Drosophila melanogaster: one gene and its partners. The protein of the gene in region 2 interacts with the protein of the main gene of each other region in a pairwise test. Each region holds a gene or a part of one and is shown on either strand. Other genes may lie near its edges.

Evidence for each region.
Region 1: the proteins of Alms1a (region 2) and CG32369 interact in a two-hybrid assay, tested with the Drosophila melanogaster proteins (one large-scale study listed by BioGRID).
Region 3: the proteins of Alms1a (region 2) and Vtld interact in a two-hybrid assay, tested with the Drosophila melanogaster proteins (one large-scale study listed by BioGRID).

The regions. Positions count from the first base shown.
Region 1 is NT_037436.4:7,805,013-7,812,423, forward strand, and holds the start of CG32369 (uncharacterized protein), read right to left. Parts: upstream 4,814-7,411; 5' UTR 3,985-4,813; intron 1-3,984.
Region 2 is NC_004354.4:4,629,385-4,639,520, forward strand, and holds Alms1a (alstrom syndrome 1a), read right to left. Parts: upstream 6,621-10,136; 5' UTR 6,517-6,620; coding exon 4,494-6,516; intron 4,441-4,493; coding exon 3,434-4,440; intron 3,363-3,433; coding exon 2,636-3,362; intron 2,579-2,635; coding exon 2,430-2,578; intron 2,347-2,429; coding exon 2,284-2,346; 3' UTR 1,668-2,283; downstream 1-1,667. Other genes in the region: Alms1b (alstrom syndrome 1b), read right to left, coding at 1-302, 356-1,499; pon (partner of numb), read left to right, coding at 7,069-7,533, 7,728-9,275; CG3081 (uncharacterized protein), read right to left, coding at 9,941-10,136. UniProt on the Drosophila melanogaster protein: In asymmetrically dividing germline stem cells (GSCs), plays a critical role in ensuring centrosome duplication, which is essential for the production of centrosomes and centrioles in all downstream germ cells.
Region 3 is NT_037436.4:19,757,052-19,763,395, forward strand, and holds Vtld (viral tegument-like deubiquitinase), read left to right. Parts: upstream 1-3,357; 5' UTR 3,358-3,779; coding exon 3,780-4,586; 3' UTR 4,587-4,766; downstream 4,767-6,344. Other genes in the region: Gyc76C (guanylyl cyclase at 76C), read right to left, coding at 485-550, 674-871, 1,012-1,179.

The DNA of each region.
Region 1 (7,411 bases), on a different chromosome or scaffold from region 2:
GGATTACTGGGTGGCCCAGGAAGAAGAGGAAGAAGAACTACAGTATCTATTACTTAACCACTGGAGAACGCCACAGATATCACGCACTCGAAATGCATTTCCCACATCACCAGGCCCAAAAAGCGATGACGTGACGTTCAGCACCTTAGCACAGAGCTAATTATTAAGGCACAGTTCTTATATAAACTGTCGAGTTCAATGAACTTTCGCAAAGTGCCCCCTGGAAGCCGTAGAAAGCCAAACTAAATCCATTAAATCGCCGCAAGGTAGGGCATAGAATAGAATCGCAACCAGGCGGCGGCACATGCTATTACATAATATTATGAAAATTAACACTGAATCACATAGAGCGAACTGACGCGGACGCTGGCTAAAGTAACGAAATCAAAATCATCGGCACACAGATACTTTTTATACCAATACTTGCGCACGTCTACCTTCTCTTAGCCGTTCTCTCTTACGTTCTCTTTACGAGAACCATTTCAGCGTGTATTTGTGAGATACGAATAGAGAGTAGCTCATTAAAGAGAATCTGTTTTTGTTTTTGTCTGGTTTTTGGCTTGTTACGGTTTTATTTTATTTTTGATTGTGCGCACGTTTTGCTTTTGACGTCGTTCGTATTGTATCTTTAAGATAAACAATGCCGGCATAACACACGGATACAGATACAGCGCACTCTCACACACCTGCAAAGTTCGGTTTGCCTTCGCATTCTGGTTTTGTTATGTAAACAATTTTTTGGTTTGTCGTCCGCCCGGCATCAAGATCGCTCTTCCTTCTCTTGCTTTTTTGTTCTTTTTTTTGGCTCATAATTTGTTTACATTTGCAAAGGCAATCAAAAGTGTGCCAAAATAAAATGAAACTACAAAGCTGCGTGAAAATGAAATTTTTAGTTTTTCTTCATTGGCAGCGATATTAAAACGCACACAGAAACACGGGCAAAATCATTTTTATATCAGGCGATTTCTGCTTTTGCATAAATCTCGTTGTTAAGTAATGCTGAAATATCTTATAAGTTGGTAGTTAGCCAAGAAAATGAATTTATCAAGGGTGTGTTTATATGTCCGCAGATATACGATCTACATGAGACTTTCTGATCGAGTTGGCGACCCAAAAAATATAATGAAAATTAAACACGCATGTTATATTCGGAATAGAATTTCGGCTGCAGGTTACATAAGATCTGGGTAGGTATTATTTCTTTTTTTTTTTTTTTGGTTAGATTAGACAGATAATACACTTTCAAACGAACGAGTTACTGGCAATAGAAGATAAGAGATAGAAAATTTGAAATAAAGTGGGATTATTATGAGGGTCAATAAATCGTCAGCATGAAACTCAAAAATATAGAAATTAATTGGATAATATCTACTTAATGTTTCAGTCAGTTGGAGCTGATCACGACGTGACCTTAAGTCCTCACTCACATTTAAGTTCCCTGTATATTGTACTTGAAATTCACGAATTCGCCCTGCAGAAATTTCCCTTTCGAAAGCAATTTACTGATATCGATATTGTAGCACTCGAGAGAACTCACTTTCTGATCATTTTAAGCAAAACAGCGCAATCTCCGCCTCGGAAACGAAACCATATAAGCAGTATATATAAATAGAGAGGTAACGAACGAGATTGAGATAGGGAGCTCCAACTTTCATATCAGCTGGCATTGTGAAACATTGTATTGGACAAGGGAAAAGTTGGTAAACAAGCCAGAAGGCACTCGATTCTAATTGTTCCTGTTGCCGCTCGGCTTTGCGTAAGTAAAAATTATGTATACGCCTCATATAACTGCACGTGCATCCTGGTGCAATCGTGGTTGCAGTTCCGTGTACGTAAAGTCCTATTGCATAATCCGTATCCGATAAATTGTTCCTAAGTGAATAACAAATATGTGAAGCCCGGCTACCTGAACACGCCCTCAGGGCAATAGCTTATAGCGTAGATTGCTTTATTTTTCACAATATTATGCAATGTCAATCGTAGATACAAACAACCGTTGTCCGTCGTCACTCAGACAAAATGGCAGCGTTGACATATAATATGTGTATATAGCTACATTTACAACGGCGTTTGTCAGTATTCTAAGTCAACTGAATTCAGGCATTGTTTGCCTTAAGTCCGATAAGTGATTGTAGGCGCGCAGTGATTGAAGTCGATAAAGGAACTTACAGCACTAAATGTGATAAACTCATTGAGCGATTGTTGAAATAATTACTATTTGCTTGCTTGTAAAGAACTGATTGAAAACGACAGTTGTTCTGTATCAACTATGAAATTGCTATCTTATGAAAATGAGTCAACAAATGATTCATCTTCATGAACATTCATGTACCCAAATACGATATGAGCAACAGCTCAGGTGTGGAAATTCCTACAAAGTTGTTTAAGTCTTTCACCAATTTCCTAAAATCCCAAGAACTTCTGATAGAGTTCTTTAATCGCCAAGTAATCACGCCACATAAGCCAATAAATTGCATAACCAAGTGATTATGCTCCGATGGTAGTTTTCGACGTAATTATGAAATCGCATACATTTTCATTGCCTTAATGTTGGCGTTTATTTGGTTTTGTACATTTTGATTTCTTCTTTGATATTTGTTTTATTGGTTTCTCATTTGTCTTGCCGTTTTTTGCTTGGCTCACACGTTTTATGACATTGTATTCGAATGGACGACAATGACGACGGCGATAAACGCTGATATAAATAGCTCAAAATAACTACAAAAGAAACTGGGCTGAAGAATTTATTGAGGCAAGCCAATTAGCAACCAAAAATTTCTACATAGTTTGTGATTTTTCAGGTTTTCGGTTTTGATTTCACACCGATTACACAAGAACCCCCACATTCGCTGTGACTAATTGGCCCGGTCCCTTTGGGCCTTACATAAGTTCGGTGTAGTGTTTGACTTGGTTTATATAACAACGATCCAGCTGTTTGAAGTCTGGCTTCCTCGATATTCGACTCTGAGTCATGACGAACCTTTTTCGCCCGATGACGTATGCAAATAGGTTTTTCCTCTTTTCGAGCTAACCATATTTTTTCAGCATTTCCCCAACCCCTTTGGCGTTTTTCGTTTTGGGCCAAGTGGGCGAACTGTGTTGTTGCGGCTTGTTCATTGGCAGCAAACGTCGCATAATACTCGTAGTACATTGCGTGTCGTAACGCTAAACGTCAACCGAGTGAGAGGGGCATATGCGGTCGAGGGGGGGAGAGGGAAGGAGCCCAGTTTCTCGCTTTGGTAGCTGACGAATATTGGGTGGTGACCCCGACAAATTGGCGAATCTTTAGTAGATTATCGGGGATTGGAAACTGTTAACCAGAGAATTACGAAAGCGATGACAACGCGACAGATTCAAGGAAAATGAATGAAATGAAAATGAAAAAAACTGACGTTTTTTTTTACCAGTTATATTTTATATACTTTAACTTTGTATATAAAATTTGTGTCAACTATAATTTAACGAGGTTGAATTGTTTATTTTCTTAATTTTACTTCTTTTAAAATTCCCAAATCGTTCTTTCCACCATTTGTTTTTTGCTTATCTGAGCTAATTTATCGCGAAATCGTTAAGATATATATTTTTCCACGGAAGTTTTATCACACATTAAATATAAATGATTATCAAGTGCAGGCCGAATTCAATTGGCCACAGAACGTCAACAAAGCAGCGCGGAAAAAACGCTTAGTAATGCCTTTAAAAATATGGCAACACGTAAGAGCCGCCCCTGCAGTTTTCCCTCCGCTAGACTCAAGCAGTGCACTTTTTGTTTTCACAATCATTGCAGATAGCAAATGAAAAACTGTTTTCCCCGACAAAGAGCGAAAAACTAAGAGAGAGACTTGAATGTGCCAATCTTTGAAAACGCAACTTTGTCGAGCGTTCATTCACATTGAAAACAGAGGCATAGCATGTGGTTTGATGTCGTAACACACACAAAGAGAACCCGAAAGAGTGGCAAAGAGAGCGCAGAAATGGAATTACCTGTCGCTGTTGAACCGCGCCTCCTTGTTTTTCCCCAAAAAAGGGTAGGTTTTTCGCGGGGGGTGCGGCGTGTACTGTTGCTCAAGAATCACACACAGACACACACACTAACACACGAAATTCTCCCTCTTCTTCTTGCAATTTATTTAAAATTTTGTTGTTGTATTTAGTTGTATATATTTTTGTTTGCCAAAAATTTATAGCCACACGCGTGCGAAAAAATCGAATTGGGGAATCTATTCACTCGTGTTATGTGTTGTTTGATATTTATATATATTTTTTTTTTTGTTTTGTAAGAACTTGGAACGGCGCTTGTCCGTCGGCTTTACGTAACCCCGCCGCACACACGGGTTAACTTTTTTTCTTTCTTTCTCGTAAAGGGTGTGCGGCAATTTGGGGGGGGCTGCACTTGGACCCCCTTTTTATATTTTGTGACTAATTTATTTATTTCATTTATTCACACCGAGAAACACGCGAGCGAGCACCTTTATTTTATTTTATTTATTTCTTTGATTACGTTGGCGTTTGTTTTGTAATACGCTTACGTTACGCGACGAGACAGAAAGAGAGAGAGCGAACGCACTGGGCGAAAGAAATAGCGACAACAGCAGCAACGGCGGCAACGTGTTCGAGTGGCTCGGCGATGATTTGCTTATGGGGTGCGCTCCACTTTGTTGCTTTTTTATTTGCCTTTTTTATTATTCATACTTTTTTTTTGTATAATTTTTATTATTTTGCTTTTTGTATTTGTATTACGGCCTGGTTTTTTTTTTCAAACTCTCCCTGCTGTCTGAACTTGCCACGGCCGCTGTTCAACAGCGAATGACTGCTGTGAAAAGTCAGTCGTTGGCTTGGAGCGAAAAATTGGCGCTCTCTTTTGGGGTCGACTCTCTTACGCCTCCGTGGATGTGTCTGTTGCGTCATCGATGTCTGTGCCTTGAGCTCTCTTTGTTTAGCACTTCTCTCTCTGGCATTTTATTTTTTTTTTTAATTTTTGCCGGCAAACCGTCAACTGTCACAACAGGCGACGCCAAGAAAAATGATGGGGCAGCGGGGGCTGCGGTGGGTGATTTGCAAAACTATTGGGTTGGGGGATAGTGGGTGGTGTTGGGGGTGCTAGTTTGCCAGTGGGCGTCATTTATCGTATGATGCGCATTTCCGGCGCCACTCAACAGACTACAGCCATATAAACACCAAGCAAACATCAATAATCACAACAGATACGGTCGATTTTCTGTTACTTAAACTAAATTACATATATAAAATTTTGTAATTTTGTTTAATACGCAAATATAGTTTTTAGATTATGTAAAATAGAATAAAAGCTTACTCAAATAACTTATAAAATTAATAACGAAATTTGTATAACAAAATACACAATAGATTAAACTGTGAAAATATAAGTTGATTAATTCTCAGACATGTCATTACAAGATGTATTAATTTTATAATCCTTAAACAGGTTTTGAAGCTATAGATTTCCTATCCCGATAGAGCTCAGAGTTGTTAAAGTTCGTCTGTAATATCGAATATCTGCGTTTCGTAAGTGTTGTGTGGCTATTACATATTGTTTTGTCATTTAACGCAAATTACGTATACGACGCGTTGACCTCATTTGGGTTGATCAACAAATGCAGTTGTCGACAAACTTGGCTTATAACAACCGCGTATCGCTTCCCCTCCCCCTACTTCCCGTCTTTCTCTTTTGGCTCCGCTTGGCTTGTATTTCAAGCTCAAGTTCAACGTTGTCTGTTAGCGGTTGCCTGCATACTACCAGTTTTCATGCTGCTGCTGCTGCTGCTGCTGCTGCGTTTCCATTAACATTTTGAGTGGCCGTTGTTGTTAACTCATTTTTCGCTTTCGTAAGTCTTGGACAGTATAAAAATATGCGGGGCGGGCGAGTGGAGTCCGCTTATGTTTGAGCATTGCTCGCATTTATTGCAACATTTCCCCATAGGGAAGTAATCGAATTGCTTTGCCTCAGGTCTGGGTCTGGTTTAAGCCTGCATTCAAAAAAAAAACAAAGCTTGAAAGTTTACAGATTAAAACATATTAAAATTAACAAAATTTATTCTAATATATATTTTCAAATTTCTGAGTTGTAGAATCTCAATAATCTTTAATTGTTTAGCAATTAACGTTATTTTAGTAGTACCATATATTTTAATACCATGTACAATTATATAATTAAATTTTGACTGTGTACCGGTTATACAGCTCCCATTTCTCAAATAGTTGGCGCTGCTTTTGTTGTTCATCAACGGAAATTAGCTGCGAGTTTCATGTTTGAAATGTTTATTTTGTAAGCAATATATGAGGAAATTAGTTTCAGTTTTTTTTTTTTGCTTTATTATGTTTTTTGCATAATAGTGTATATCACCGATTTGGGCTTTGGTTCAGCTGAATTTGAAATAGGTGTGTGAAGCTGACAAACAAATTATTTATTTTTTTTCGTTGTTTTAGTGAATGTTAATTGAAGTCGGGCGAGTTTCGTTTGTTGCCAAGTGGAAGTGAGAATTTGTCTTATGATTGGAATCCATGGAAGTTTTTCCACAGATTAAATGTTGAATGGTATACATTGTTTTAGAATGCGCATTTTATCCGAACTTGAAGTTCGTCATTTCAGTTCTTGAGTTTCCGGCAGCTTTATTTAGCGACATGTCAACTGCACCCAACAGTTTTAACAGCTTATCTCATATCCAGTTACCATTTTCAGATCCTCTCTCCACTCACCAATTATGCAATCAACTTGACCTCCAGTTACTCAAAACTGTGTATTCCAGCTGCTTTGAAGGCCAACCACTCTGTTTTGACAATGCTGCCCCGAAGTTGGCTATTCGTTCAGAGGAAAAAACTCGCCTAATGGTATACCACAAAATCCACAGAAAAATGAAACAGTTTTTATCATTTTTTTTTTTGCATTTATCGTTTCAAAATTTGTATCTAAACCTTTATTGTTTGTTCTTTCTTGCAGTTTTCGTAAAACATAATTATTCGCCTTGCCTTAATCTCACTTCTTATCTCTTGAAGTTCCTACTAATTAAATTCAGTTTCTATTACGAAATTAAAGACCATAACAGAAGCATAACTTTCTCATTCGGTTAACAAAATCTACAAAAACTTATACAGAATGTTATGGAACTCAATATGAATTAAGTTGAGTGTAAAATAATTAACAAATGACTTGACATTAGGTAGTAAATTATAGCTAATCTGCAGCATCTCGAGCACTTCTGTTGGAGTTTCTTTAGGTTTTCTCTTTTGTTTTTTTTTTTTTAGATTTATTTTGGTTTTGTATATATATCTAGGTACATGTTAGTGTCCTTGCTTAGGCTTTCATCTTTACGTTTTAGCTTAAATTTGGTTTTCATTCGTATTCATTTTTTGTGTTTTGCATGCTGCCAACAACAATTAGGCTGAGTTTCTT
Region 2 (10,136 bases):
TTCGAACTCTATTTCACTCAGGGTCATGGGATTCAGCCAATCCTGCAAATCCAAAGGCTCAATATCTGCATCCGTTGAGGCATTGCGATTCGGTATATTTGTCTTCTGGGTGATCACCTCGCCTGAGCCACTGGTTGAGCCACTGTACGATACGCTTTCAGGCAGTGGCGAAGATGATCCGATAGCTGCTCGCTTTCGTGGAGCGGGAACTGGTGGAGCAATACGTTCAGCTTTGGATGAGCTTCTCGCATTGGATTGGTTCGTATTGGTGGCCGCAACTTGCTGCAGAGAACCTGTAGGCACTGTTTAAAGTATGAATTACTACAAATGCCACCTTGTTGAAGAGTTTACTCACCCTTCAACTGCTCCTTGCTGCTGCTGCTCAGGGAACGCGAACTAGTGCTGGATTCGGTCAGTTCCAGACAGGAGATACGCCTGGCTATATCACGGACGAGTTTTTTCTTCTGTCCCTGGCTGAGGCTGCGAGATTTTACCAGAGAACAGACCAACTCGATTCCTATATCCAATACCCCTCGCGGTCTACTACCGGATCCAACGTCTAATGAAGTGGTTGATGAGGAGGCTGTGACGCCGGTGGAGGGATTTACTACAGGGTTCTCGGGCTGCTGGTTCTCCTTGCTCACATGCCGCCTATTGCCCCGAATTTTCTCGAACTGAGCCGCCGTGTACTGTCGCTCTTGCTCGCGCACCTTTTCGCGCTTTGTAGCTTTTCTTTGGTCCCTCGTGAGTTGCTGAATTCCTTGCTGTTCCCTTTCCAGTTGATGATCCTTTTCATGGCGCTGTTTAGCTTTCCTTTGGTCTCTCATGAGTGGCTGAATTTCTTGCTGCTCCCTTTCCGGATGATGAATGTCCGTCTGACAAGAGCTAACTTTGGAATCCTGTCTCCTGGATTTACATTGGCACTTCTTTGTGTGTTTGTGTGACTTATGGACAGACTCTAGTGTCTGGGTTTTTTTGTTTTGCATCTGGGGCGACTTGATAGGTCTGCGAATGTCCCCCGCGGATTGGGACATGGTTTGGGTAACTGCTACGGAACGAAAACTGGGGCTACTGGCCAATACAATAGGAATTATAGTGTATTCATTCGGTTTCGTCTGAGTTACTTCCGATTTCGGTGATGTGAACTGACTGATGTTGTGCTTACTGGGTGGTGGTGAAACTGACAGTTCCCGGAGCTGTTCCTTTGCTTCCCCCCGTTCGTCAGGTGAACGATGATCGCTGCTCTTCGTGCGACGCCTGTGGCCTGATTCTGGTCGCGCTTCATGTTCCATGGAGGCACATCCTGGCGGCTGGACTGATCCCAGGGCACAACTTTGGGTGCTGCCACTGGCTCCACTGCTTGCCGTCGACGAAAGGGCCATGAATCGATCCAATTCCCGGTCCGTGGCCATTGCGCTGATATAATAATCCCCGGGTGGTGGATGAACGCGGGTTAACTTCGCCGGTCTGTTATCTCGGGAACCAAACTTCTTAAACATTCGGACTGTTTCTTGGCTCTAATTGTCGAAAAAGTTTATTTCCCTGCTATATTCCAATTCGCCAGAGACTAGTTTGATGTGACGCAAAAATCATTCGAAAACGCAGCACAAGTTTGTTGACCAATGTTGCCACGCCCACTCTAACGCCCACAAACAGCACGTGTGTTTATATTTTTCTCAAATTTTTATTAGTCTTGTAAATTTCTATAGATTTGCTAATCAACTTTTTGCCACGCCCACTCTAATGGCCTAAAGCCGAACAATTTTTAAACTTTTTCTCATTTTATTCCCCAATATCTATCGATATCCTAGAAAAATTATGAAATTTCGCGTTCGCATTCACACCAGCTGGAGTAACAGGTATCTGATAGTCGGGGAACTCGACTATAGCAGTCTCTCTCTCCTATTAATTTGTTCAAAATGCCATTACATTTTCCTAAAGTACATATTGAGATGATAATCAATAAAATATCAATAAAAATATAATATATAATATATATCGATCGTCAACCCGTGCTCAATTTATTTCTTTTAAAAACATTACAAATTTAGTCAAATGCTAAATCAACATAGTTTTCTATGTTTGGAGTTAACTGGCCGTCTACATTAAATTTAAACATTACGTATGGACTAAACCATACGTGCTTCGGGATTTAAACAATTGTGATCAATTAAAAGCTATAGAAAAATACAAAGCCTAGCACTGGCAATAGCATAATAATGAAAAACTATAACTGGTGGGTGTCATTTCGGTGGCTGTGGAAAAATCCTGATTCGATCTTCTCTACATGATTGCCATGCTGTGATTCAGGGATATCTGTCCGCTGGCCACGCGACTTTTGAGGCGCTGTTTGGATAAATGGGATTTAGGAATTTATGAGATTTTAAATATATGGACAAATCGGGTTGAATGGGTGTTCATTGTCTGACCTTGTTGAAGACATCGCGCATCAAACGATTGGAGCGACGTCTCTGCTCCTCCTCCTGGCGACTTTGGGCGGCCAACACTTCCGGCAAATTTTTGCACCGTTTGGAGGTTATCGCCTTCATTTCCCTGGTGGTAAATAACCTAACTCGAGCTGCAAGTTAAGAAATGTAGTTATTATTCGGACTTCGGATTCCATTTGATATCTTACTATTGGCTGGTGGAGGCAGCTGCTCCAGATGCCTGTTCAGCGCCTCCATGCTGGTACTCTGGCTCAAAACATTGTCCAGCTCCTGGCGCCGAGCATTGCGAATCATCTGCATCTCATTAAGTATGGCCTTGCGCTGCTTGGCATTGGCACAGAATTCGGGACGAGCCAGCTGCAGTTGATCCTGCAGGGAGGGAGGTTTCTCAATCACCTCACTGCTGCCCGTCGGCGTAAACTGGATGACATAGGATATAGCACGTGGACGCACTTGTAGCGTTTGGCGTTGCATACTCTCTGCATTCATCGTGGTCTCCTTGTGCCCTCTTCGCACCCGCTGACATGCCACATCATCGTACTGATGAGTGGTGGTCGTAGTGGTGGTCTCACAGGTGTTCATCATGCCCATGGGTACGGACATGTCCGAGCTGATGCACATCATCGAGGACGATGAATTTGTGGTGGTTGTGGTCGATCTGGTGATTGCCGAGCCTCCTGCTCCACCAGTTGCACTTGCTTCATTTTGTGTCTCTGTGCTCACCATTGTTGCTTGCACATAGCTAGCTACTCCCTGAGAGTTGACCACCTGGTAGTAGATGGCTTCATTCTTATCCGCGCCGGAGCTACCACTCTGGTGTGGAGTGGCATAGGCACTTCCCGCCGCCTGGGCGTACTGCATCTGCATATATTGCTCACGTTCATCGGGCTGCTCCTCTGCTTCCTGTTGACGCCTCTGTGAAAAAGAAAGAGATGGCTTGAGTATGAGGAAGTCGCAGGATTCCTTTTATTGGGCAATAGCCTTACCGGACAATTCTGCTGATGAATGCAAGTCCGCTGGTGACCACATTGAGCACACTGACCGCAATGTTGCTGCCTCTGTATCAATATATCTTTTTGCTGGTTCAGCTGCTTCTGCAGCTGGTAAAGTTTCTGTTGCTGAAGCAATACAAACTGTTGCTGCTGCTGGTTCTGATAATGCTCGCGGAACTGACGCTGCCTTTGCTGGACAAAGGAGCAGACACTTTCGCTGCGACCGCCGCCACTGGTAGAGCTACCTGAGACAAGTAAAGGAGTGGCCATCTTTTTACGGTTCTGCAGATTCCGCTGGTTAAGGTGAGGAGGTGGTGGTGGTGGTTGTGTCGGGGGCGGTGCTGGCAGTGTGGAAGGATCAGAATTGGTCACATTCACTCCAACCGATTCAATTCTCACTGGGGGCGGCGGTGTTGTTGTTGTTTCCGAATTTTCCATCTCTTTGCTCTCTGCTTCAGCTGACATTTCTTGTCGCAGAAGATATTCCTTGTCCGGTCGCTCCTTCTGGTCGCCCATACATCGCATGGAACTTGGAATCTGCGCAGCCGTCGCAGATTCCGTGTTTGCTTTCTTCTGCGACTTGCTGGGCAAACTGATATTTTCCAAAAGATTCTTAAATTCCTGCATGCGATTAATCTCTGTCTTGACCCAGTGGAGCTGCCTCCTTCGCTCCGAATCCGTGCCACCTTTCAAACGCTCTTCGAACTCTATTTCACTCAGGGTCATGGGATTCAGCCAATCCTGCAAATCCAAAGGCTCAATATCTGCATCCGTTGAGGCATTGCGATTCGGTATATTTGTCTTCTGGGTGATCACCTCGCCTGAGCCACTGGTTGAGCCACTGTACGATACGCTTTCAGGCAGTGGCGAAGATGATCCGATAGCTGCTCGCTTTCGTGGAGCGGGAACTGGTGGAGCAATACGTTCAGCTTTGGATGAGCTTCTCGCATTGGATTGGTTCGTATTGGTGGCCGCAACTTGCTGCAGAGAACCTGTAGGCACTGTTTAAAGTATGAATTACTACAAATGCCACCTTGTTGAAGAGTTTACTCACCCTTCAACTGCTCCTTGCTGCTGCTGCTCAGGGAACGCGAACTAGTGCTGGATTCGGTCAGTTCCAGACAGGAGATACGCCTGGCTATATCACGGACGAGTTTTTTCTTCTGTCCCTGGCTGAGGCTGCGAGATTTTACCAAAGAACACAGCAAATCGATTCCTAGATCCAATTCCCCTCCCGGTCTACTACCGGATCCAACGTCTAATGAGGTGGTTGATGTGGAGGCTGTAACGCCGGTGGAGGGATTTACTACAGGGTTCTCGGGCTTCTGGTTCTCCTTGTTCACATGCCGCCTATTGCTCCGAATTTTCTCGAACTGAGCCGCCGTGTACTGTCGCTCTTGCTCGCGCTCCTTTTCGCGCTTTTTAGCTTTTCTTTGGCCCTTCGAGAGTTGCTGGATTCCTTGCTGTTCCCTTTCCAGTTGATGATCCTTTTCATGGCGCTGTTCAGCTTTCCTTTGGTCTCTCATGAGTGGCTGAATTTCTTGCTGCTCCCTTCCCGAATGATGATTCTTGTCCTTTAGTTCTCTTCCCTTTGGTTCCCCTTGTTGCATATCATTTTGGTGCTGCTCTTTTTCCAGTTGCTTCTTTGGCTCAACCTCCATCTCTTGTTGTCTCCTTTGATTGTGTTTGAGCACCTCGACTTCCTGCGCCATATGCATGTGATAATCAAAGCTACTGGCCGACAAACTGCCGTACACCGAGTTGGTTTGTGATTCCCGCCTTGAACTGGAACGCGAGCTCTCCACCCTTGAGCTGACTTCTGATCCCAATCTGGAGCTATTTGGCGAGTTGAGCCTGGAGTCGTCTCTTCTGTAACTGCTCAGCGATTCCCTCCGCGAGCTACTCACCGATGGCCTGCGAGAACTTATCTGTGGATCTTGTACTCGCGAACTAATCCTTAAATCGTCTTTCTTACGCCTGTCAATTGATTCTTCTTCTTCCATTATGGAGTCAATTTCGGTATCATTTCTATTGTAACTGCATTGGGTACCTTCTGTTGTAAAATTTCCACGAATATCTTTTGCTTCAGAACTGCCTTGGGTTGACTCCTTTTGCGAGCTGCTGCGACAGTCCGTCTGACAAGAGCTAACTTCGGAATCCTGTCTCCTGGATTTACGTTGGCACTTCTTTCTAGGATCTCCTTTATTGGAGCTCAATGAACTTTCCATTCCAGAGTTTAGAGACTTCGTGCGTTCGCTGCGATTGACAAACGTGCTGCAAGCCAGTGGCGGCGTTGGCTTATCCAACATTGGTGACGGTTCCTCGGCCAAAAGGGGCTGCACTCCATCCAAATTCGCCTCGGGTCGCTGCTGTGTTGGCTGACGCCAGCTGCAATCCTCCAAAACGGATCGCTCCAGCGTGCTGATGTTACTCATGGACATTGCCCTCTTGCAGTAGCCCACATCGGCAGAAGGATCCCACTCCAGGCGTTTGTGTGACTTAAGGACAGACTCTGGTGTCTGCGTTTTTTTGTTTTGCATCTGGGGCGACTTGGTAGGTGTGCGTATGTCCTCCGCGGATTGGGACATGGTTTGGGTGACTGCTACGGAACGAAAACTGGGGCTACTGGCCAATACAATAGGAATTATAGTGTATTCATTCGGTTTCGTCTTAGTTACTTCCGATTTCGGTGATGTGAACTGACTGATTTTGTGCTTACTGGGTGGTGGTGAAACTGACAGTTCCCGGAGCTGTTCCTTTGCTTCCCCCCGTTCGTCAGGTGAACGATGATCGCTGCTCTTCGTGCGACGCCTGTGGCCTGATTCTGGTCGCGATTCATGTTCCATGGAGGCACATCCTGGCGGCGGGACTGATCCCAGGGCACAACTGTGGGTGCTGCCACTGGCTCCACTGCTTGCCGTCGACGAAAGGGCCATGAATCGATCTAATTCCCGGTCCGTGGCCATTGCGCTGATATATTCCCTAGCTAGTGGAGGAACGCGGGATGATTCCGCCAATTTGTTATGGCGAGAACCGGACATCATCACCTTTCCGACTGCTCCTCTCTTCGCTCTCATGGTCGAAAAAGTTTATTCCCCTTCAATATGTCAGTTCGCCACATGGAAGCAGCGTTAGAAACTAGTTTGATGTGACGCTAAAATCATTCGAAAACAAATTGAGCCACCTGATATCGAAAGTTATCGCCTATCGGTGGCGATAGTTGGTTAGATGCCTTTGTTATCGATATCGATTATTTTGGTTAAAATTACATTACATTACATTTTCCTAAAGTACATACTGAAATGTTAAAATCAATGAAAAAAGCATATATAATATATATACTATTATGTACATAATTCAAATAAAGCATTTGGTTAGTTGATACAAGTGAATAAGTAAAAAATTTTATTAACAGCAATGTAATATGGGATTAACAGGGCCTATTGAGAACCGGTTCGGACGCAGTGTTGGCTAACGATGCAACCGGTTCCGGTTGTCTGTGGATTTTCAAAATGGCATTTGGTGTCGTACTGCGTTGTTTATAATTGCTCCTCGCTGCTCTAGAAAAACAATTTGAATCTGATTAAAGAAACTTAAGATATACACATCGACTTGTGATCGACTGAATAATGCTGGAGACGAAGAGCATAGCTGCATTGGCTTTCACGGAGACGCCGCGCAAACGCAAAAGGGAGACGCTCTATAAAAATGCTGCCCCGCCCCCGAATCCGCAGCAACAACCCCCAGAAAAGGACGCACAGGATGCAGCTGTCGCGTCGACAGAATCCTGCTTCACCAACGCCGCCTTCAGTTCCACGCCCAAGAAGCTAATGGTGGCTCGTCGTCGTTTGGCCAAGGAGAATAGCCAACCCAATCCGTTTCCCGGCTTGGAGGTCAAGTCCATAGCTGATCTGGCCCAGAAGCAGCAGCACCAGCAGCATCATCAGCAGCAGCAACAACAACAACAAAAGCTACCCACGAATCCTTTTGAGGTCCTGCGCCAGCCGCCCAAGAAGAAGAAGCGCGAGCATGCCTGCTTCGAGAATCCTGGCCTGAATTTGGAGCTGCCCGAGAAGCAGTTCAATCCATATGAGGTGAGTTCACTAGTCTAATCGTACATGGATGTACTTTTTGTCGCAGTTAAGTTACAGTAGAAATCATTCATATGTGTTTGTTTTCTAAATAAAACAATATCTTTATAATCTATATATTAAAAACTACATAAAAATCATACATTTATTATATATAGCTATAGAATATTATTATAACTCAGCCATAATATTTTTAGGTCGTCCGCTCGGCAACCACGCCCGCCAAGGGCTTCGTGAATCCTGCCCTGAATTTGCGCGGCAGTGATGCGCCGGCCTCGCTCAATCCCTTCGAGATCCATCGGCCCAGCGAGGCGTCCGAGGCAGCCTGCAATCCCTCGGGTGTGGCCAATCCGGCACTGGCCGATAGGGATTCGGAGGAGCAGCTGCCCACCAGCCTGAAGATCGGCTTGCCATTCACGCCAACGCTGGGCTGTCGCATCGATTTTCACGGCATGTCCCTTACGCAGCTAACGCCTAGCAAGCTGCTGGCCGAGAAGCTGGTCTTTTCGCCCGTTCCGGCGCCCAAACGATCGCTGGGCGCCATCAGCGAGGAGTCGTCTATGGACATTGGCAAGGAGCTGGATCGCTATCAACTGGAATTGGAGAACAGCATCAACGAGGCGAAGCTACGGAAGAATGGCGTGCTGGTGGATAGAGAGTTGCCCAGGAATAGCTTGGAGGTGGAACTGCCCAAGAACACCAAGGTCTCCTTGGTCATGGAGACCAATACGCAGGAGCTGATGATGCAGGAAGTGGTGACGGTGGACACTCAAGTGGAGAGGCGTCTGGTTTGCACCAGACGACGCACACTAACCGAGATTAGCGAGGCTTCCGAGGTGGAAGAGGACACGGAGAAGCTGCTCGAGCAGGACCGCGAAGCAGAGGTGATTCTCGAGCAGGAGAAGATTCTAGAGCAGGAGATGGTCTCAGAGCGGGAACGACATTTAACGAGGGAGAAGCAATTGAAGCAGGAGAAACTCCTAGAGAGGGAAAAACATTTGGAGCGAGAGAAGCTGCAGGAGAAGCTGCACGAGCAGCTCAGGGAAAAGCTCCAGGAGAGGGCCAAGCATCTGGAGAAGGAGAAGCTGGAGGAGGAGGAGCTCCTGGAAAGGCAGCTAGAAGAGGAACGGGAAAAGGAGCCAACCGACGGCGATGTGGCCTATGCCTCCGAATCCGAATCCGACGACGAGCCCGATGATCTAGACTTCAAGGCACCCGCGCGCTTCGTTCGCGCCTACAGACCCGCCGCTCTGCCCTCCAAGGCGGCCAGCAAGGAGTCGCTGCAGTCCATCGGATCAAGCAAGTCCGCCAAATCGGCAGAAGTTAAGCCCAGTATCGGAATGAAAGGCATGATAAGAAAGTCCATTCGAAGACTGATGCATCCCACGTCGCACACCACGCCATCCGAGGTAAAGTCCGAGGACAAGGATGAACATGGACATGGACAGGGCCATGGACAGCACAACATACTCAATAGCATTCGGCACAGCCTGCGCAGGAGGCCACAAAAGGCGGCCGAGTTGGAGGAGCAAATGGAGCCCGTTCTCGCCGACGTCTCCATTATCGACACCAGCGAACGGACCATGAAGCTCCGCTCGAGCGTTGCCCAAACCGAGTACATGACCATCGAGCAGCTGACCAACGAGAAGAAGCACTCACTGCGGAACAGCATTAGGCGGTCCACGCGGGACGTGCTGCGCCATGTGTTCCACAAGAGTCACGATGCCTATGCAACCGCCAAGTGAGCAGGTTGGCTCCACAGATTCAATTGGTGCGTCGATTTTTAGGGGATTTCAAATGGCATTTCTGTAACCGAAAGCATTTAAATTTATTTGTTATTATTTTTGAAATGCGCCTTCCCCTTGTTGAATTGACCCAATTGACTTCTTTTCAATTCGATTTTTCAGCACCTAGTTAAGTTTTTAATTGCACCCAAAGATTGTCACACAAGACCAGCGAAAAAAGGAAAGGAAACCTTATTTCATCTGAAAACCACATCATCACCTAGTTTTTAATCAAGTTTTTTTTCTTAATTTTTCAAGCGAACTCTGCAAATTAATTTGCACACTGTTTATAGTTTTAAGTTACTTGATGTTTGCACGTTTATTCATATATGTATGTATGTATGTTTGCCCATATATCTTTATATATATATATATATATGCTTTCTAATATATATAACATTTGTTTTTTTATACATAAACGTGTGATTTCCTATTCTTGGACCGATTTTTCCGACTAATTTGTGTGTACAGATGCATCAATTTAATGCTAATGACTAGCAAACATTTAAGTTGATAAGTTAATATACTTGCTTAGCTTATGGACATTTTTGTATAGCTTTCAATTATTCATTATCCCGTTTGTCCGGACATTTCTCTCTTGAGCGGACTGCCATCCTGGAGCACACCTACTTGTAGACAGTTTGGAGAAGGGGTCGCCGCCGCTGGTCGATGGGCTTGTAGGCGTGCTGATAGACACTGGCCAATCGCCAGTGCTCTGGATAGCCGCCCTGACCCGCTCCGCCCGCTTGGCTTTGGAAGGGCGGCACCAGGGTTTCGATGTCGTAATTCTTTTTGGCATACGGCTGCCGGGGGCGTGGCACC
Region 3 (6,344 bases), on a different chromosome or scaffold from region 2:
ACAACTGCAAATACTTTAAAGAGATTTGCCTATGGTGTTTGCGGTTAATGGATTTTACTCATTTCCTCGCTGCAAATATGACATACAAAATTATGAAAATTCATTTCAAACCATAAACAAGAAAACATGCTCTACAAAGCACATTTTTTCTCTGGTTTCTGCGAAGAGGGACCCCTTACCTAACATATGTATGAATATTAAAATTGAGCTAATCTTATTATTTTGTATTCTCACTACCCATTTCTTCTGGCAAAACATTGCATTGTTTTTCTCTTGCGGGCGTTCGTACTCTTCTTTTGTCCTTCTCATTCTGGCGTTTGTTGTCCCCGGTTTGAGGATAATCCGAGGCTAAATGGCTGTGCCTGTCGAGACTCAAAGCCACCGCAAGGAAGGCCACCCCGACCCGCCTCCTCGTCTCGTCTCGTCTTGAACCCAACCACCCACACATCCATCCATCCACCTGTTGCTCCCGGCTCTTGCTCACCTGTGTATCTGGCGGCTCGGTGCGGGCGAATGTCGGTATGGCGGATGCACGGTACTCTGCACATTTCTGTTGAAAGGGGGAAAACGAAAAGAAATAAGAACTTCACTTGCATGAAAAATGTGGTGCGTGAAATTGTCTGCACCCGCCGCTGCGGGGAGGCGTCATAAGTCAGGAGCTTAAAATACATACGTAGGAAATCATTGGAATGTTTCGACTCTGCGAGACGATGGCCTCCACATAGCAAGGTCCTTCCGGGCCAAAAATGGTGGCGATGCCATCGCATATCATCTCGGTGATGGCCTTGGTGGCCAGTACCGTGTCCCCCTTGGTGTCATTCCAGCGCAGATCCAGGTACACATTTGGCAGAAGATTGGGATCTTTGTTGACCTGTTTCCGGAACGAAAACGAAAGACTTTCAATAACAATTCTATCTAAAAAAAAAAAGGTACAACTTTGATGACGCAGTTTGAATACTATCGAGTTCAGATATTTGCTATTATTACAAATAAATCGAAGCTAGTACTTACCTCATCCAGGGCCATAGTCAGGGCACCGGAAATGGCCAGTCCCTGACGCGTCTTGAGATCGCCAGTGAGGGCCGTTAGGTAGCCGACAGTGAGGACGGTGCGATGATTGCTACAGTCGCGTACCGCCACCGACAGCAAGAGTAGTAGATTAAAGGGCCAACGCGTCATGGCCCCTTAGGCCGGGGCCGTTCAGCGCGACGCCTATGGGTCCCAACGGATTCTCACACTGCAATGATGGGAACGGAGAAGAAGGATCAGTTGAGAGTAGGACCAGAGACAGGAGCAGAAGCGTTGCGCGAGGAGCAGGACCGAGCCGAAGCTAAGTGAGGACGCAATTGAAACTGCCAAGGACCCCTTTGCATAATAAAAATGCATGTTTGACAAAGGCAAACACAAATAGAAAACAGCATGCTGAACGCATTTCAGACACTTGGCTTGATTCAGACGAAAGAGCTGCAAGGCAGAGAAGCTGGAAAGCAGCTGCAGTCCGACTGCCCAGGACACAGAGAATAAATTATGGCAGGATATAATATTAAAGACTCTAAAATAAATGTATTCTTAAGCAATTACGTTCGAAATTAACATACTATATCAATTCTTAGCTTATTTAAACAACTGCTTTACTCAAAAATACCAAACTAAATTGGGAATCAAGTAGGACGATTATTTTTCTCTGTTTATCAATAAGCTGGAACTGCTGAGTGTCGCAAAGGACGCAAAAGGGAAATGACGCTGGGTGTACTCCAACAGGCAACCGGATGCCAGGCAAGTGCCCACGCAGGGAAATGTCAAATGTTGGAATGTCCAACTTCAATATCGTTGACCACTCGTCCGTCGGCAGCCGAAACGAGCTTAGGAATTTTTTAATTAGGCTGTTCAGTTCTTTGCCATGGGAATTGGGAGCGAATCACTGATAAGTAGCTTATCAGCTACTGCAGAGGCCTTTTTCCACCAAGGAATGCCATATACATTCGTACATATGTATCCTCCGGAATGGAGGCCCATAATGCGGAGCGCACAGCTTGTTATTATTAATTATGCATGCGTTGATTTTGCCATTATGCAATTTCGTTTGAGGCATTAAATATATATATCGCCGGCGATTTCGTTTCAGACATATGTTTGTTATTATCCCTGTCCACGCCAACACAATCCCTCCCCACAGCATTGTCCTGATTGTTTGCGCTAAAGCGAAAGCTTATTCCATGGGATTGGATTACTCAACTGTTCGGTCGGATGATGGCGTTCATCCCTGTTTGTCTTTTTTTTTTTTTTTAACAGGCTCACGTGTAAGTTTAATTAAAAGAATAAAAGAAATGCGAAAGCCAGTATATAACGGAATGTAGGGCAACTATTTGATTATAGTTAATTTAAAAAAAAGTTGCCACAAACGACTGGGACATCGGTTAACTGTGGAGCACATTAAATTTCCAGCAATAGAACATAAAATTGATTAATATCGAATTGCTTTGAAAAGCCATAAGCTGAGTTTAATTAAAAGCAAAACCAATCCTTAAGACATGATAAGAGACTTAGGAAAACCTTAGGAATTCACAAATTTTCCTGATAATTTCAAACAAATATTCACGAGGAATTCAAAGTGTAGCCACTTAGACGCGGGTAATCTTTAGAGCACCCCAATCTCAATCAACAAAATGCTCAAGCAGCCAGCCATAAATTTGCATTTTCGACACACTTCGCAAACCATATTTGTTTTTGTTTTTTAAGCTGTATATTCTTCAATGTTGCAATTTAAAATTAGAACTACTTGGCTGGGCTAGCTAAATTTGGGCGCCACTGATAAATATTTGCGCACCATTTTGACACAATGCGAAACGCGTTTCCAAGAATGGCATTTGAATACATTTATGTGTGGCTAAGGCGGAAATCGTCTTTCCTAGAATCTAGATTAGCAGATCTTCTTGTTTAATACGTATATAGATTGGTCTATAAACAACCTATTTAAGTTAAAAAATACTTAAGTCGGTATCATGGATGTAAATAGCTGTTGCGCTGAAGTAGACAAAATCTAAAAACCATTTCAATTTCATTGATGAGTTTTTAACTAAGCTAATTGAAAAACTCTGAATGTACTCCTTTAGCATAGTAAGGTGTAATGCTCACATAGAGCTAGAACACCTTAAAATTTGTTGGAATAATCATATAGTTTCAACTATTACAATTACTTTAAATGTAAAATGGAAATACTATATTCAAGGACCTATAAGAACGTAGCAATACCTTTTCAAATTGCGTCAAATGGGCTCTCATTTTCATAATCAGATCCCCGTAGGTCTGAAATCTCACATCATGTTCGTTATTTGTCAGTTGTTGGTCTAGAAATTTTTGTCTTTCCGACTCGAAAGTTTTCACCTTTACCCGTCGAACGCTCCTCCGGCAAAAGACACTCAAAATTCGATGTTTACTTGAAATCCAAAGCCCGTGCTTAGAGCGTAGTGGAGTGGAGAGGAGTTGCGGCAATCCTGAGCTCGATCCCGAATCCGAGGACATAGTGCTGTTGACGGGTTCGATCACTAGATCCCCACATAAACCACCAACTCTATACCCACACGTGCGCCTTGAAGCCTAGGGGTCATTGCACTTGCGAACTATGTGACAGTGGCACTACGGAAACAGCGCCAGGGCCGGGTTTACCACTGCGTCTCCGGAGCACCAGGATCCGGAAACGCAACCTAAGATTAAGACGTCGCTGAACACAGGATCCGAGGACCAACAACCGATCCCCGGGCGATCAAAAACCCGGCGCCATGGCCATTCACGAGCAGATCGACAACCTGAACATCTGGTGGTTTCCGCGCGACTTCTGTCAGTCGCGATTCGGGGAGTTCCAGCGGAGCGGCACCAACTCCTGCACCATCATTTCCCTAATACTGGCCGACAAGGTGGCCAAGGCGGACAGATTCTATCACAGGGTCTCCGATCTGCCGCTGCGGGGATGGGAGCTCTTCGGCAACGCCATTAACGACGGAAACAGCGTGTACCACAATGTGATTACAACTAATACGCCGCACGCCAGGAATCTCAACCTCAACATTCCGGATGCTATCGCCGCCATTCGGTCGCAGCACAAGATGAACTTCCGGCTGGAGGAGTGGTTTTACACGCACATGGAGGCCGATCCCAGCAATCCCATGTACAACCGGAACGTTGCTGTGCAGTTGTCGCGGGTTTTCCAGATAACACTCCAGATGTTCCAGCACGCCAGCGTGCGAAACAATGTACCCACTAACCTCTTCGCCGCCATCATAGCGGACAGTCGAACGGTGATGGTAACCTTCGATTTCCGAGCCTCGATCGTCGCCCTCTTCGACTCCCACCAACACGGCCGGGATGCGGGAGCCGTCTTCGCCCAGTGCACGCTCGAGAACATGGACGACCTGCTCTTCTGGTTCATCAGCATGTTACACAATGTCTACTCCAGCCGGCCCTCGCTCTTCGAAATCTCCTTCCTCAGCTCTCAGCCGGGGGTGGCCAAGAACATTCCGCCGGCCATCCAAAAAAAGATTGCCGCAGACCTGAAGAAGCCGTTTAAGATGAACATGCCTAAGCACTAATCATGTTGCCAGGTTTACTACAAAGTCGCCAACATCCAAGGACGTCGATCTAGGCGCGGGCCAACCTTTCGGAACCCATTTTTGGGGCTATTTTAGGACAAAATCTCAAGTTTCATATAGCAAAATTTGTGTGTTAAGCGTTTAGAAATTTAATTCAAAATTCTCTGTTGACCATCAACTAATAAATAACGAACTCCAATTTGCATTGTATCCTTAAAGACAGATTTTGCAAGATTTAGCTATATGGTAAGTCTAGTCTGTTCAAGGTTGATACAAGATTGATTTCCGACCCTATAAAGTATAAGTGCAGTCTCTCAATGTCCGTCTGTTTGTTGTCCGTATAATCATCGAAATCTTAGGAGCTATAAACAGTTAGCTGGAACTGCTAAGAAGTAGAAACTTCTTGGTCGTTGAGCTAAGTAACTGGTATCAAAGAGTCGGACAAGAGGACAATAATGTTCTCTATCGTTTAGTTAAAAGTTCTTTAAGGCACGCAGTTAATCGTCGGATTCAAAGAATGAAGACAATATACTTTTGCAAGTCACCTAAACAACTTTCCATGTTGTTATGTACATACATGTGAACGTATGAAAAATTTAACTCCTAATTAATGCTGAACTAAATAATGATATAGAAATTATTTAATTGTGAGCACGTATGTATTTACCTTTCTGTTGATATTTGCCTATTTTCTATTCCTCTTACCTAATTACACTTGAGTAAACAATTAGTTCGGGAGAGCCGAACATCTGTGTGGGGGATTTTATGCATTAGCGGATGTGGGCTGTTTGCTGTTTTGGCCACCCCAGCTAACCGAAAGTCGAGTGGCTTTAATAACAAAGGCGCAAGAGTTAAAGTTGAACTTTGTAACGGGAATCGAGCGACGAGTATGCGGTGCGCGTGTGGCTCTGCCGTATTTTTCTCGACTTCTAATCAAAATGAGTTAAATAAACACATAACGTAACCTATTAAGAACTTAGTACGTGACAACAATTTAAATATTTATAAAGTAAACAGAGAGTGCGAGAGAGAGAGAGAAAGAGAGAGCTAGTGAAGAGGAGAAGGCGAGGGGCAAAGGAGGAGCGTCTAAAAATAGAGCCACATATCAAAGAAAATATGAGAAACAAATCGAAAACCGAGGCGCAAGACGTGATAAAACGTTTAACGTTAAATGTGAAAAGCAGCCGCGGAGAGGCCAAAACAGAGAAATAGACAAAATGAGAGAGGAAATCGCAGAGGGAGAGAGCGTGCAACTGAGTTGTAATCAACAAATAAAGAGCTACAAGTTGTGTAATGTGAAAATATAAAAATCGCGTAGCCGCAACGTGGGCCGCATTTAACATGATGCTCTCTTGTTCTCTTGCTCTCTGGCTGTCTCCGTCTCCATCTCTCTCACTCCGTCCATCCTCTCTGTCGCACAGCGCAACAAGTTGCAGTCGGCGGCGGGGAACCGTCTTTATTGCACTTTTCAGACGAAGTTTTTTGCTGCTGCACGTGTGTATACACACATACATTCATACTTATGTATGTGCGTACAAATTGTCGAGTTGTCTAAAAATAAAACCTGCATACTAAAAATAGAAACCAGACGCGAACACGACAATCCATTGGCCGTTGGATAAACCAACACGACATTACATTGCACATATATCGACAAACAAACATCACCAGGGGAGCTCCTCGCAGGCAAAGTGGGTGAAGTGGCGATTTTTGAGGAACCAAAAATGTGGGGGTTTGCCAGGGGGGTGCTATATAAAC